Linked DNA regions of Drosophila melanogaster. The protein of the gene in region 1 purifies or fractionates together with the protein of each later gene. This does not show direct contact. Each region holds a gene or a part of one and is shown on either strand. Other genes may lie near its edges.

Evidence for each region. Proteins that work in one complex are often made in the same cells at the same time.
Region 2: the proteins of Rab10 (region 1) and vri purify together in Drosophila melanogaster (affinity purification with mass spectrometry, with the first as the bait; one large-scale study listed by BioGRID). This does not show direct contact.

Annotation. Positions count from the first base shown.
Region 1 is NC_004354.4:20,248,556-20,254,464, reverse strand, and holds the start of Rab10 (Rab10), read right to left. Parts: upstream 3,128-5,909; 5' UTR 2,835-3,127; coding exon 2,708-2,834; intron 2,228-2,707; coding exon 2,028-2,227; intron 1,958-2,027; coding exon 1,868-1,957; intron 1,400-1,867; coding exon 1,202-1,399; 3' UTR 1-1,201. Other genes in the region: CG17068 (uncharacterized protein), read left to right, coding at 3,512-5,596.
Region 2 is NT_033779.5:5,302,683-5,308,591, reverse strand, and holds the start of vri (vrille), read right to left. Parts: upstream 2,943-5,909; 5' UTR 2,568-2,942; coding exon 2,426-2,567; intron 1,028-2,425; coding exon 680-1,027; intron 572-679; coding exon 1-571.

The DNA.
Region 1 (5,909 bases):
TGCACCGTCCTTACATACAAGCATGGAGATATATACGCGCGCACACCCAAGCCCCCTTAAGTGTACACAGATACATACATATATATTATATATAAATTGGGTGTGCGGGCGCGAATGCACATAAAAACGATGCGATATACGGTGTGTAATTTCATATATGTATATATATATATAAATATATATTTATATCTAAATATCTATATATATATATATATATATATATATATATATATATATATATATATATATATATATATGCACAGGCAATAATCAAAAACGATTTCGGAACACCTCGATCTCGAAACTCCCTATGGAACTGCAACTCTGGCCGAGGATCTGGCTTGAAAGCTTGAGTGGCCAGGACGCAGAGCAGGGCGTACATCACCACCCGCCCCATCGAACTCCTCGCTGGCTTGGCTTGGCGTCGACATAGAAAGCGAAAGCAAGCTAAGTAGGTATAGGCTATATACTACTATCCGATGTATAATATGTATAGGTGTTATTTATATCTAGGCTGAAACGCAAAACAAAAACGAAACACTAAGTGGGGCGGCTGGGGAGTGCGAGTGGTGGCGAACGAGCGAGCGAGCGAGCGATCGAATGACTGAGTACAGGAATCGTAAGACTATATGTGTATCAAAAGTACGTTACAAAAGTTGCTTATGTCTGCGTCAGCGACATCAGCGCTATCATTATCGTTTCTTGTGGCTGGACAGTGGCTGGAGCTGATCCTCGTTATCCGATCCACGTTAGTCAACCGATCGAGTGCGGCATGGATATGCAGATCCTTGCGTCCACGTTGTGTGGGCGTTAACTAACGTGGCCCATGCCCGACCACCATCCATCGTTCGGAGTTTTGTAAAGTTGCTTCCAAATGTTCGTATTACAATATCTGTTGCTTGTTGTTAAACTTTAGGTAGGTTGTTTCTGTTGCTTGTTCCATTTTGCGTATCCTCGTAATAAGTAAGTTTCCTACGTGCGAATGACCCCGGCTCTATTGCTTTGTTTTTTGCTTCGTCCGTGCGGAGCGGTTTCAGAAACCGGTCCCCACTGCTTTCGGTTCGATTCGATTCGTTTCGTTCCATTCCAATTCAATCTAGTCCAGTTTAATCCAATCCAATCCGTACTTCGCCGCCTTCCCCACGCACAGCTGAGCACAAACCGGGCCAAACCACGCCCCGTTCGCCTAGAACGCCGCTTTTTACGCGCAGCACTTGCTGTAGCCCGGCGCCTTCTCCTGGTTCCGGCGATCGATAATCACGCGCTCCTGATTCTCCGCCGACTCGCGTCCTGATGTCTTGTCCAGAATGGCCTCGGCCAGCTCGCAGAAGGCCCGCTCGATGTTTATGTTCGACTTGGCGGATGTTTCCATAAACCGAATGCCATGTTCACGGGCAATCTAAAAAACGTGGGCAGAGATGGGGAAGGGGAGCAAGTTATTGGCTTTGTAAACAAATTGATCAAACAGACGTGGGGCGTGTGCGATCATTGAGTAACAATCATAATAAATAACCAGAATAGTTCTAACATAAATTGTATGCCTCCGGAAATTTTCCCTTGCATTCATTACCACGGACATACTATAGCACCTAAATAGTTTCGTCTTGATTGTCAGAGAACGAATATATTCGCTGTGTTCAATTTGCAAACTTATCTTAAAAAATCAAAACAATAGGAAACTATTAAGGGGCATGGAATTCGCTTGTAAAAAACAGTTGGCTTTGAAAGCTAAACACACTAATATATGATCGATTTCCGAACTCAACTCCTATGGCAGAAGAGCTTAACGATCTAACTACGACTATATTTCCTAATCTCTGACAGTGATTGCTGTTGTGGGGGCACTCTGTGGATGAGGGATGCTCACCGCTTCGCCGCGCTCCTTGTTGACCACCCTCTTGTCCGTCATATCGCACTTGTTGCCGAGGATCATCTTCTCCACATCCTCGTTGGCGTGCTAAAACAAAAAAAAAAGAAGAAGATTTCAGACTTTAGAAAAGGCCATTACTCGCAGGGGAAACACCTACCTCGTCTATATTCCGTAACCATTTGACTATGTTCTCGAAACTCTTCTCGTTCGTTATGTCATAGACCAGCATTATGCCCATGGCGCCTCGATAGTACGAGGTGGTTATCGTGTGGAACCGCTCCTGGCCGGCGGTGTCCCATATTTGCAGCTTGATCTTCTTGCCGCGCAGCTCGACTGTTTTGATTTTGAAATCGATGCCTGAGAAAAACGGTTGAACGAGAAAGCAAATGTAGTGCGGAAAAACCAACGCAATTTGAGCCGAATGACGTCACGGCGGTGTTATCGATTACATTGGAATTGAATAAAATAAAGCAGTTCGACATTGATATCACGATGATTCATTACATTAGACGTATATGAAGCATTCATTCCAACCAAATGATCACACGTCTGTGTTACGTGTTGCGAACATGCAGTAGTTTAGTACGAAAAGTTCAAGTTCAGGGAGTTACATAGCCACATAGATGGCATATTTTGCTCACTTCTCCTCCGCTTTCCACTCCGCAGGCGATCGAAACAAGCAGTGCATAGGCCAGTCGATAAGGCAGTGCCACGCCCAGTCACACACCCACACACACGTATATATATCCTGGCTGTGCAGCTGACATGTGCGCGTGTGTGTGTGTGTGCGGTGCGGGTGGACAGATGCAAGTATGTGCGTACGGTCCCGTTACTCACCTATGGTCGATATGAACGTGGACGTGAATGCATCATCCGAGAACCGGAACAATATGCACGTCTTGCCCACTCCTGAATCACCGATCAGCAACAGTTTAAAGAGCAAATCGTAGGTTTTCTTTGCCATTTCCAAAACGCAACGGAACGCTCGCAGAACAAAGCACAAACACACGCGACACTCACACGCACGCAAACACACACACACACAAACGCACGGGCGCAGGTGACAAGAGATATTATTATTATTGAAGCGCCTGCCCTTTTTCGCTCTTTCTCTCGGTTATGGCCGCCTAAGCAATGATCCTGTATCTCGAGCTAGCTCTTTTTTCTCCGCGTGTCTTAAATGCGCCGAATTAATTAATATTTTCGCTTGAAATTGTTGCTATTAGAACTAGAGCTGGAACATGAATCGATATCTGTTCGATACCATCCATGCTCTCACCAGTGTGGCAACTTCGATGGTTTAATACAACTATCGACTGCTATGGAGTCACAGTTTTGAAATCACAGCTTAAAATCTAAAGAAAGATTTGAGTTTACTCTTGATAATACCTTAAATGCTTAAGTATTTTTGCTAGAAAGCTCATAACATGACTTTTAATTATTACGCCATTTGGCAGACCTCTGCTATCGGTACGACAGCCAATCGATAGGTAAGCACGCATTCAATTATCGGTATCGTAAAATAATAACAATTTCGCAAAATCCCAAACCGATTCGCAAAAAGGTGGATTATTCACACAAATCAGAGCGAACAACGTTTGGATTACAGTGATCCCAATCCCAGCCAATCCACCGCAGGCAATGGACATCGACTGGCAAAACGGCCTCACCGAGCTGAAGGATCGGGGCCAGTACCTGCTCCACTCGGAGAAGTGGGCCGACTGCCGCTTTCTGGTGGGTTCTTCGCCCACCCAGCGGCTCATTGCCGGCCACAAGCTGCTACTGGCCATGGCTTCGCCGGTGTTCGAGCGAATGTTCTATGGCAACCTGCCCGATAAGACGGACCCCATCGTCATTCCGGACGTGCAGCCGGAGGCGTTCGAGGCGATGCTGGAGTACATCTACACGGACCGCATCACCATTGGGTCCTTCGACAAGGCCTGCGAGCTGTGCTACGTGGCCAAGAAGTACATGCTGCCCCACGTGGTCACGCGCTGCACCCATTTCCTTTGGGCTGATCTTAGTCCGAAAAACGCGTGCCGGGCGTACGAGTTTGCCAAGCTGTTCGATGAGCCGCGCCTCATGCAAAGCAGCATGGATCTGATCGCGGCCAACACGCGCGAGGTTCTGTCCGATCCCAGCTTCCTGGACATCGAGGTCTCCACCCTGATGGCCATTCTTGACCAGAATCGCCTGAACATCGACTCCGAGCTGGATTTGTTCAACTGCCTGCTGAAGTTTGCCAGTGAGCGGGGCATCCTGAACGAGTCCGGCCAGGAAGAGACTGCTAGCGGAGGTCAGGTGCTGACCAAGGAATCGCCCGACAATGCTGCCGGCCATGTGCTGGTCGAAGAGATCAAGATGGAGCCCGATGTGGCGGCCATGGTGCAGCACATGCACCAGGACGACGAGGCTGACAGCTTCGAAACGGACGCTGGGATGGCTTCCACTTCCTCTGCGGCTGCCGCGGCTGCAGCTGCGCCCACGGCTGCCTCCCCGCCGCTGGACGTGGCTTCCGGCTCCGACGACCTGGTAATCATCGATAGCGACGCTTCGGCCGATGCCGCCGCCAACATGATTAACATCATGGACGCCCAGCGCACCATTCTCGATGGCGCCATGCTCAGGCAGGCGGTCAAAAAGATTCGCTTTCTCACCATGACGCCGCAGCAGTTCGCGGAGGGACCGGCCCGTTCCAAGCTGCTGCAGCAGCACGAGGCCCTCTCCATCCTGATTAAGATCTCCAGTCCCTCGCTCAACGATTGTCACATGCCCGAAGGCTTCTGCGTGTCGCGGAGCACGCGCAACTTCTACGAGTCGGGCCACCGACACGCCCAGAGAGAATTGTCCTCCTCGTATCGCACTGGAGCCGCTCCCTCGGGCGTCTGTTTCCCGGGACCGGGACCGGCAGTTCGCAGCGGAGGACCCTCCGGCGGCGGTATGATGATGGGCATTGCGCCCCGTTTCGGATCCGTGGGCACGGGATTCGGCTTCGCAGGCGAGGAATTGGTCATCCGCCCGCCGGAACCGGTGGGCGTCCCACCGGATGCCGCACCTGCGCCAGCACCACTGCGCTGCTTCGGCGAGGGCTACGAGAGCGGAGCGCCAGTCCCAGCGCCCGCCAATGATGATGATGGCGGCGATCGAGGCGCACCGGCGCCCGCTGGCGGCGCTGCAGCTGGAGGAGCTGGATCCGCAGCTGGAAATTCGCACAACGACATGGTGCGCGCGTACTGTATGCGCTCCCTTACCCGGCAATTTGACTTCCGCAACACCAGCGTCACGGATGCGGGCGTAACGTTCCAGGTGGACACCAACATTTGGATCCTGGGCGTCCAAGTGCCCACGCGCGTGCTGTGCGGCGAGCTGATGACTTCTGCCGGTTTTACGGAACGATACACCGAGGTGCTGTACGCCCACATCCAGGACATGCACGGCTCACGCATCACATACACGCACTGCACGGCACGCGTGCGTTACGATTCGCTGCTGGACATCACGTTCGATCGACCGGTGTACATATACCGAAACCAGATCTACAAGATCTACGTGGTGTTCAACAAGACCGGCTGGTATCCCATGTACTCCTGTGTGCCCGATGCCAACTGCAATCGCGTGAAGTTCATGTTCAACGTGGGCAACCCCACCGAATCGGTTCGCGACGGCCTTATCTACGCAATTATCTTCTCCACACCGCAGGACCATGGCCGTCACCTGGTCGACTGAATGCGGAGCAATATGAGTTCGTTAGTTTAGGTCTCCTTCCTTGTATTTCCGATGTGATAGTCTTTGGTTGGCGTCATTGGCCATGGAAATTATTTGATCTGTACGATTATATTTCCCCTTCTCCTAGTTCCAAAATGGGAACTAATTGTGCATAGTTTTTACATCACTTACCATGTGTGTGTGTATGGATTGTTTGTGTTCCTTATCTGTTTTGGATCGCCAAGCAAATGACTAGAAATGAACATCGCATTTCTGGTCAGCAATGGCTAATGCAACTGCAATTGTTGCATTATGTTTGTACAGGTTTATTGCC
Region 2 (5,909 bases), on another chromosome or scaffold:
GGATAGCCATTGTGGCCACCTTGAGGCGATCCCTCGCCCGATCCACTGCCCGAGGGCGAGGAGCCCGAGGAGGAGCCACCACTGCCGCTCATCTTGGCGCGCTTTGTGTTACTCAGCACCTGTTCGCTGGTGGGCAGCGAGGCGAGGATCTTCTCCACGCTCACCAGATTCTCGCCGGAGATGTTGAACTTGTCGCGTATGGCGTCCAGCTGGGCCTTCAGCACATGGTTCTCTTTGGTCAGCTCGATGACGCGCTGCTCCAGAACCATGTCATTGTAGCGCCTCTTCTCTCGACTCCGCTTGGCCGCCTCGTTGTTCCTTCTCCGGCGATCCCAGTAGCTCTCGTCCTTCTTGTTGTCCGGGGTGAATTCGCGTTGCTTTCGCTGCGAGAAGAGCTCTTTCTGGGCGGCGGTCAACGCCGACTGCGGTCCATTGCCACCCTGTGAGGGCGACTGGGCCATCATTCCATCTCCATAGCCGCTTCCCGGGACATATTTGCCCAGACTGTCGGACATGCCGCTGTCATTTGACTGCGGACTTATGGATCCTCCGTACATGGACAACGGATGCACTGTAAGGAGAGAAGGGCATAGGATTAGTTCTCAAGCTTTGGAACTATAGATGGATAGATAATTGATATGATCAGAGCCACTGCATCATTATATTCTCGGACACTTACAGTTAGAAGCCTCGTTGGAGCTGCCGTTCATCGAGAGAGTCGGCGATATATTGGATAGCCGGACGTTGTTCATCATGGCGATGTTGGCTTTGTTGTGGCTGTTGGTGGGCGTGCCGCTGAGGACCTCGGGCATTGCTGTGGACACAGACGCCTCCGGATAGAGTTTGCCCGGCGGCGCTAGCAGGAGCAGCTTCTCCTCTTTGCCTCCGGTGGGGGGGCGTGGCCCGTAGGGAAAGTCGCTGCCGCTCAGCTTCTGCTGGCTGTAGTGATGCAGCTGCGCTAGTTTCTGCTGCAGTTGCTGCTGGTGTTGCAGATGGCTGTTGTTGCTTTGAGCTTGGATGCGGGGAACTGCAATGCAAAGATAGAGAGGTTAGTCTCTTTGACATTCATAGTTCCTTAAGAAGGGACGTATTTTATTTTATTATATTGCTAAACTTATTTATACCTTTAAAAAGTATTGTATAGCACTTTTAAGATCTTTTAAACTATTTCAACTATTCTCTGTTATGAATTCAAATTAAAGCGTTCTACCAATTTGTACAACACTCATTTCCTGCGCCTGGAAGCAGACTACACTTTTTGCAGCCCCGAAAATAATAAACAAACAAGACCTTGCCCCCAATTAAAAGCCAAGATTGCGAAGAATATCTCTTTCCTGCTACCAAAACAATATCACTTATCACCTATTTATGGCATTTCTTTCAAATGTTCTTATCTAGCTACATATGCGACATTTAGAAAATATATACATATTTAGTAATACTAATCAGGCTGAGCATTTGATAAGCTAACAAATTGACAAGGCGTCCGCCACTCAACGCAAAACTCGTTGGGTCCCCAAAATGTCTAATGCGATCTTGTCTGGCCCAACGCACACACAAACATGCAGAACTTTCTTTGTTCGTTGGTCCTTGCCCTTGCTGCTTGCCCTCGTCTATAGCTTTACCGTTTGCTTTCGTTTTTAGCACAGGCATTTACACAATGATTACGCCGAATGATGCAAGAATCGGCGAGTGGGAGCGAGAAAGAGAGGGAGCGAGAATTAGACGACAAAGGCGACGAAGAACCAGCACAATCACACACACACAGACAAAGTGTTAGAATGTAAACAAGAAATCGCACATTGCACATCTGTGTGTGAGTGCGCCCCCGCTCCCGTACCCTTAGACATCTTTCTCCCACTCTCTTTCTTTCTCACTCACCCTCACCATGACCATCGAATTGGCATTTACAGTTCAATGTGCTCGCAGACACAAACACACACACACACACACATGCACGTACACTTAAGCGCTCTGGCGGCCAGACTCTGCCGACAACCCCTAAACGGGAGAGCAACAGAGAGGGCAACACAGAGAGCAGCGCTGCAGTCGGCATCTTGACAAAATTCACAAAAACAAAATGACTAAGCTTCGCCAGTCATTCCACCGCACCCCACTCAGCCCCCCATTCACCCACACTTTTTCGGGCTATTTTGTTTTGCGTCTCAATCTTTCGTGTGTTATTGTTTTCAGCCGACTAAGTTTAGTAAATATTCTAGAACTGATTAACAGTTGCCACTGTACTACGCAAAAAGAGCAGAAATATTTAAATATTGTGATTGTCATCAGTTTTCACACAAATTCTCAACAGATTTCAAGATCAAACGTGGAAAGTTCGAAAATGCTGCTCAAAGAAGCACATAGTTTTAAACTTTTCGTAACACTGATTTATTTGTTATAACTTTCGTAGCACTTGAACACCTACATTTATTGTTGCTGGGATTATCCTGCTTGTAGTTATTGATGTAATTCGTATCCGTATTGTTTTTGAGTATCAACAGATTTTTGGTCGTTGCAGCCGCTTTGAAAAAGTTCACTTTCTGTTCCAGCGTGCAGACAATCGACATAATGTTTTGTTGTTAGAACGAACAAATTGGCATTGTTTTTGTGTGCGCTTGCAGATATTATCCAAATCTTTTGAAAATTGTTTTTCAAACACTTGTGCAGTTCGGGGTTTAACCAATTTGACCGATTTAGTTGGCTAACGCGACGTTTCTGCGCTTGATGCACTTGGCCGAAATGCTTTTAACGGCTCGACCGACGGCTCTCACTTGCTTATCGCGGTTGTGAACCCGATCGGCTGTATATTATATGGTTTGGTAGTATAGTCTAGAGACTTATCGCGAGCGCCTGAACCGCTTCGAAAGAAGGCTGAATCGCAATTGAATTTGTAAAAGCATTTCTCCGACGAGCTGCTCGGCGGTCACGTTGTGGCAACACGCATCCGATACACGCGACCTAGCGTGTTCGCTCGCAACATGTTGCGAACGGTTCGATGCAGTAAAAGTGAAATTTCTCAATCGCCGCTTCGAACATGTACCAGCATGCCCGTTGCAAGCGATCACATTGCCGTTGTTGTTGAGTAATCAGCGCGGCAATCTCGGCAAGAACAAAATCGTTTCGAGCTGCATATTCGAAACTAGAACGTGATTGCCTGCTGCGGGGGGTGGGGTAGCTCTTGCCAGCGGGTTCGCTCTTGACGCTCAAACACACACAAGAACGCACACACACGTAAGGTGACTGAGGTGCTTTGGCCGCGTGAGTCCGATTTCGATTGCGATTCTTATTCCCATTCTGATTCCGATTCTCGGTACTGGTTGTATTCATTTTTTTTTACCCTTTTTGGGTTCGATGTGTTCGTGTGAGTATGCTTGTGTGTGTGTGCCAGTTGGGTTGGTGACGCAAGCGTCTTACACAAAATATTCAGAGAACCAGCAGCACATTATTAATAATCGAGAATGCATTCAAATGCACACATGCAAATGGCTGGGGAGTTGGGAAAACTGATTTGAATGAAAAGCTTAGGCAAGACACTTTTTTAAGTTGCATGTAAGAGTGGATAACTAGAGGAAATTTCCTTACGTATTTAATTAACATTATGAAAGGTAATTAAAAATTTAAGAACATTGATAAGGAAGCAAAAGTATTTGCCTTAAGATGTAGCTTATTGATTTGATTTTAATGTATAGCATTAAAGTACATACACATACGTACATATGTATATTTGAAGTTCCAATCAGTGAATTTTTGGGTTTCCCCACTCTACAAACATATTTGCGTTCAGAATAAATTCCCAGAAAATCTAATTCGAGTAGAGTAAACAGTAAACAGTGCTAGCTAACTATTGAACTCGTCTAAATCTGCATACAATTACCAATTTATTTAATGTACGACGAACAAATCGACAGATCACGTGGCTTTGAAACTTTGGATAGTTTAACAAGGGGAATATATGGTCGTGCCGATAACTTCCCAGCCACCAAACTGTCTGGTTGGCTATTACAAAACCACTTCACAGCTTATATAAATCATAATTAAGTGCTTAACACTGCGATACGGTTATCAGAATGGATGGGGTGACTATCAACTTAGTTGCAGTGGAAGACAAAGACGGCTATTTAAGTACTACACTAGGCAAACAACGAGTTGTTGTAAAAAAGTAAGGTCGGGAGATATTACGTAATTTCCTATTCACCAGGCAGTAAAACACTAACGCGGAACAAACAGTGAATAGTATCGAATCGAAAGAAGAAATTCCATTGAATTCGCATAAAAACAGTTCTCGATGGCGATTACCAAATGCCAGAAAACCGGAAAAGTGGAGAATAAATGAAATGAAATACATATGTATGTACATAAATACTGATTAAAGTGCAATACATAAAGTGCACTTTATCAGTGCTAATAATAGAACTAAGAAAACTATATTGCATTAAGTCAGTAGACCACTGTATAATGTTAGTGTTTTAAAGTACGAGCCTATAACTGACCTATCCTCCTGGGGCATAGCAATTTTCTACTAAATATCGTTACCTTATGTAATCTGGCTATACACTTGGCAGTTTCAATTGCACAGCTTCCAGTTCCATGATCATGAGCAAATCTCAATTACGCGATCACTGCGCGATATCCACGTGAGTCGCCCGATTCACGTGTCCGGACCAATCGTAGTCGGATCCGTCGGGATGGTGGGCCAGACCCCCCCGACCAACCCCTCTGGGATACCCCGTAATCTGCGGCACATCCATTATCAGTATGCAAATATGTATGTGTAATGTGGCCCTTATCACACTCCACTCTGTTTGCTGTGGTGTGCTGGTTTGTGTAGTGTTTTCTATACTAACATTCTGCCCCGGGATGCCAACACTCATCTTTTGGTTTGTTTTGACACACTCATACTCGAATATGGTATAGGGTATAGGGAGGAATTGCTGTAGTTAGCCCAAAACGGTTACGAAACACTTTCGTCGTCGACGTCGACGTCGACTGTGTAGTCTCGGATTCTGCTAGCACCCCGTGAAAAGGCGATGTGGAAAACCCCCTGCTCCACCCCTCCCCATTCCACTGCATCAGCAGTCAAGTTATAGCAGCGCTATTTATATTTTCCGCAGCAAGAGGCGTGCGCGCTGACTCGACGTTCGCCGCTGGACGCTCCACGTTCGACAATCGGCAATCCAGCAATCCCGCCACCCGGCAATCCGACCACCCGGCTATCCGGCAATCGGCGGAGCGGTCACGTGTCGTGGAATGTGAGGCACCAGCGGCTAGTGCAACGCTCCCCAACAGCCGGCCTGCGACGGCTCACATGTTGGCGACTTGAGTCGGCTACGCAAGCCAAATGGAAATTAACGTGTTCTCCACTTATTGCGTTTGTTCCCTAGCTGATACAGTGGTCCTTCGAGAGAAGGAACTGCTATCTACCTAAGAAGTAATATCTAGCTTATAACCTGATATTTACAAATAATATTTTTGAATTTTTCCTCTAAAAAGATGCTTACGTATGCGTAATATTATGTATACGCATAGTGTGCTGTATAAAGTATACGACAATATTACGTATACGCATAGTATGCTGTACTTCGTATATGCAATATTATTACAGTTCACTTTTGTGAATTTCCACTGTATCTAGATTGATTCCAATACTAATATTATTTTTTTTTCCATAACACCCTCCATATGTGCGACTTGCAGGGGGGCCCAATCCCAATAGAAAAAAATGCAAATCTTCGCAAGAATTTTGTTTGCACATTGCATTGATTGCTATACGCCAAAGGTTTTTGTTGTTACTTGGCAACGTGCTCGCTGGAATTGTGCCGCTGCGGTAATTGTAGTTGTAATTGTCACAACATGTAATTCTTACTGTTGTAGTAAGCAGATAGAAACGAATAGGTGTATACCCTATAATG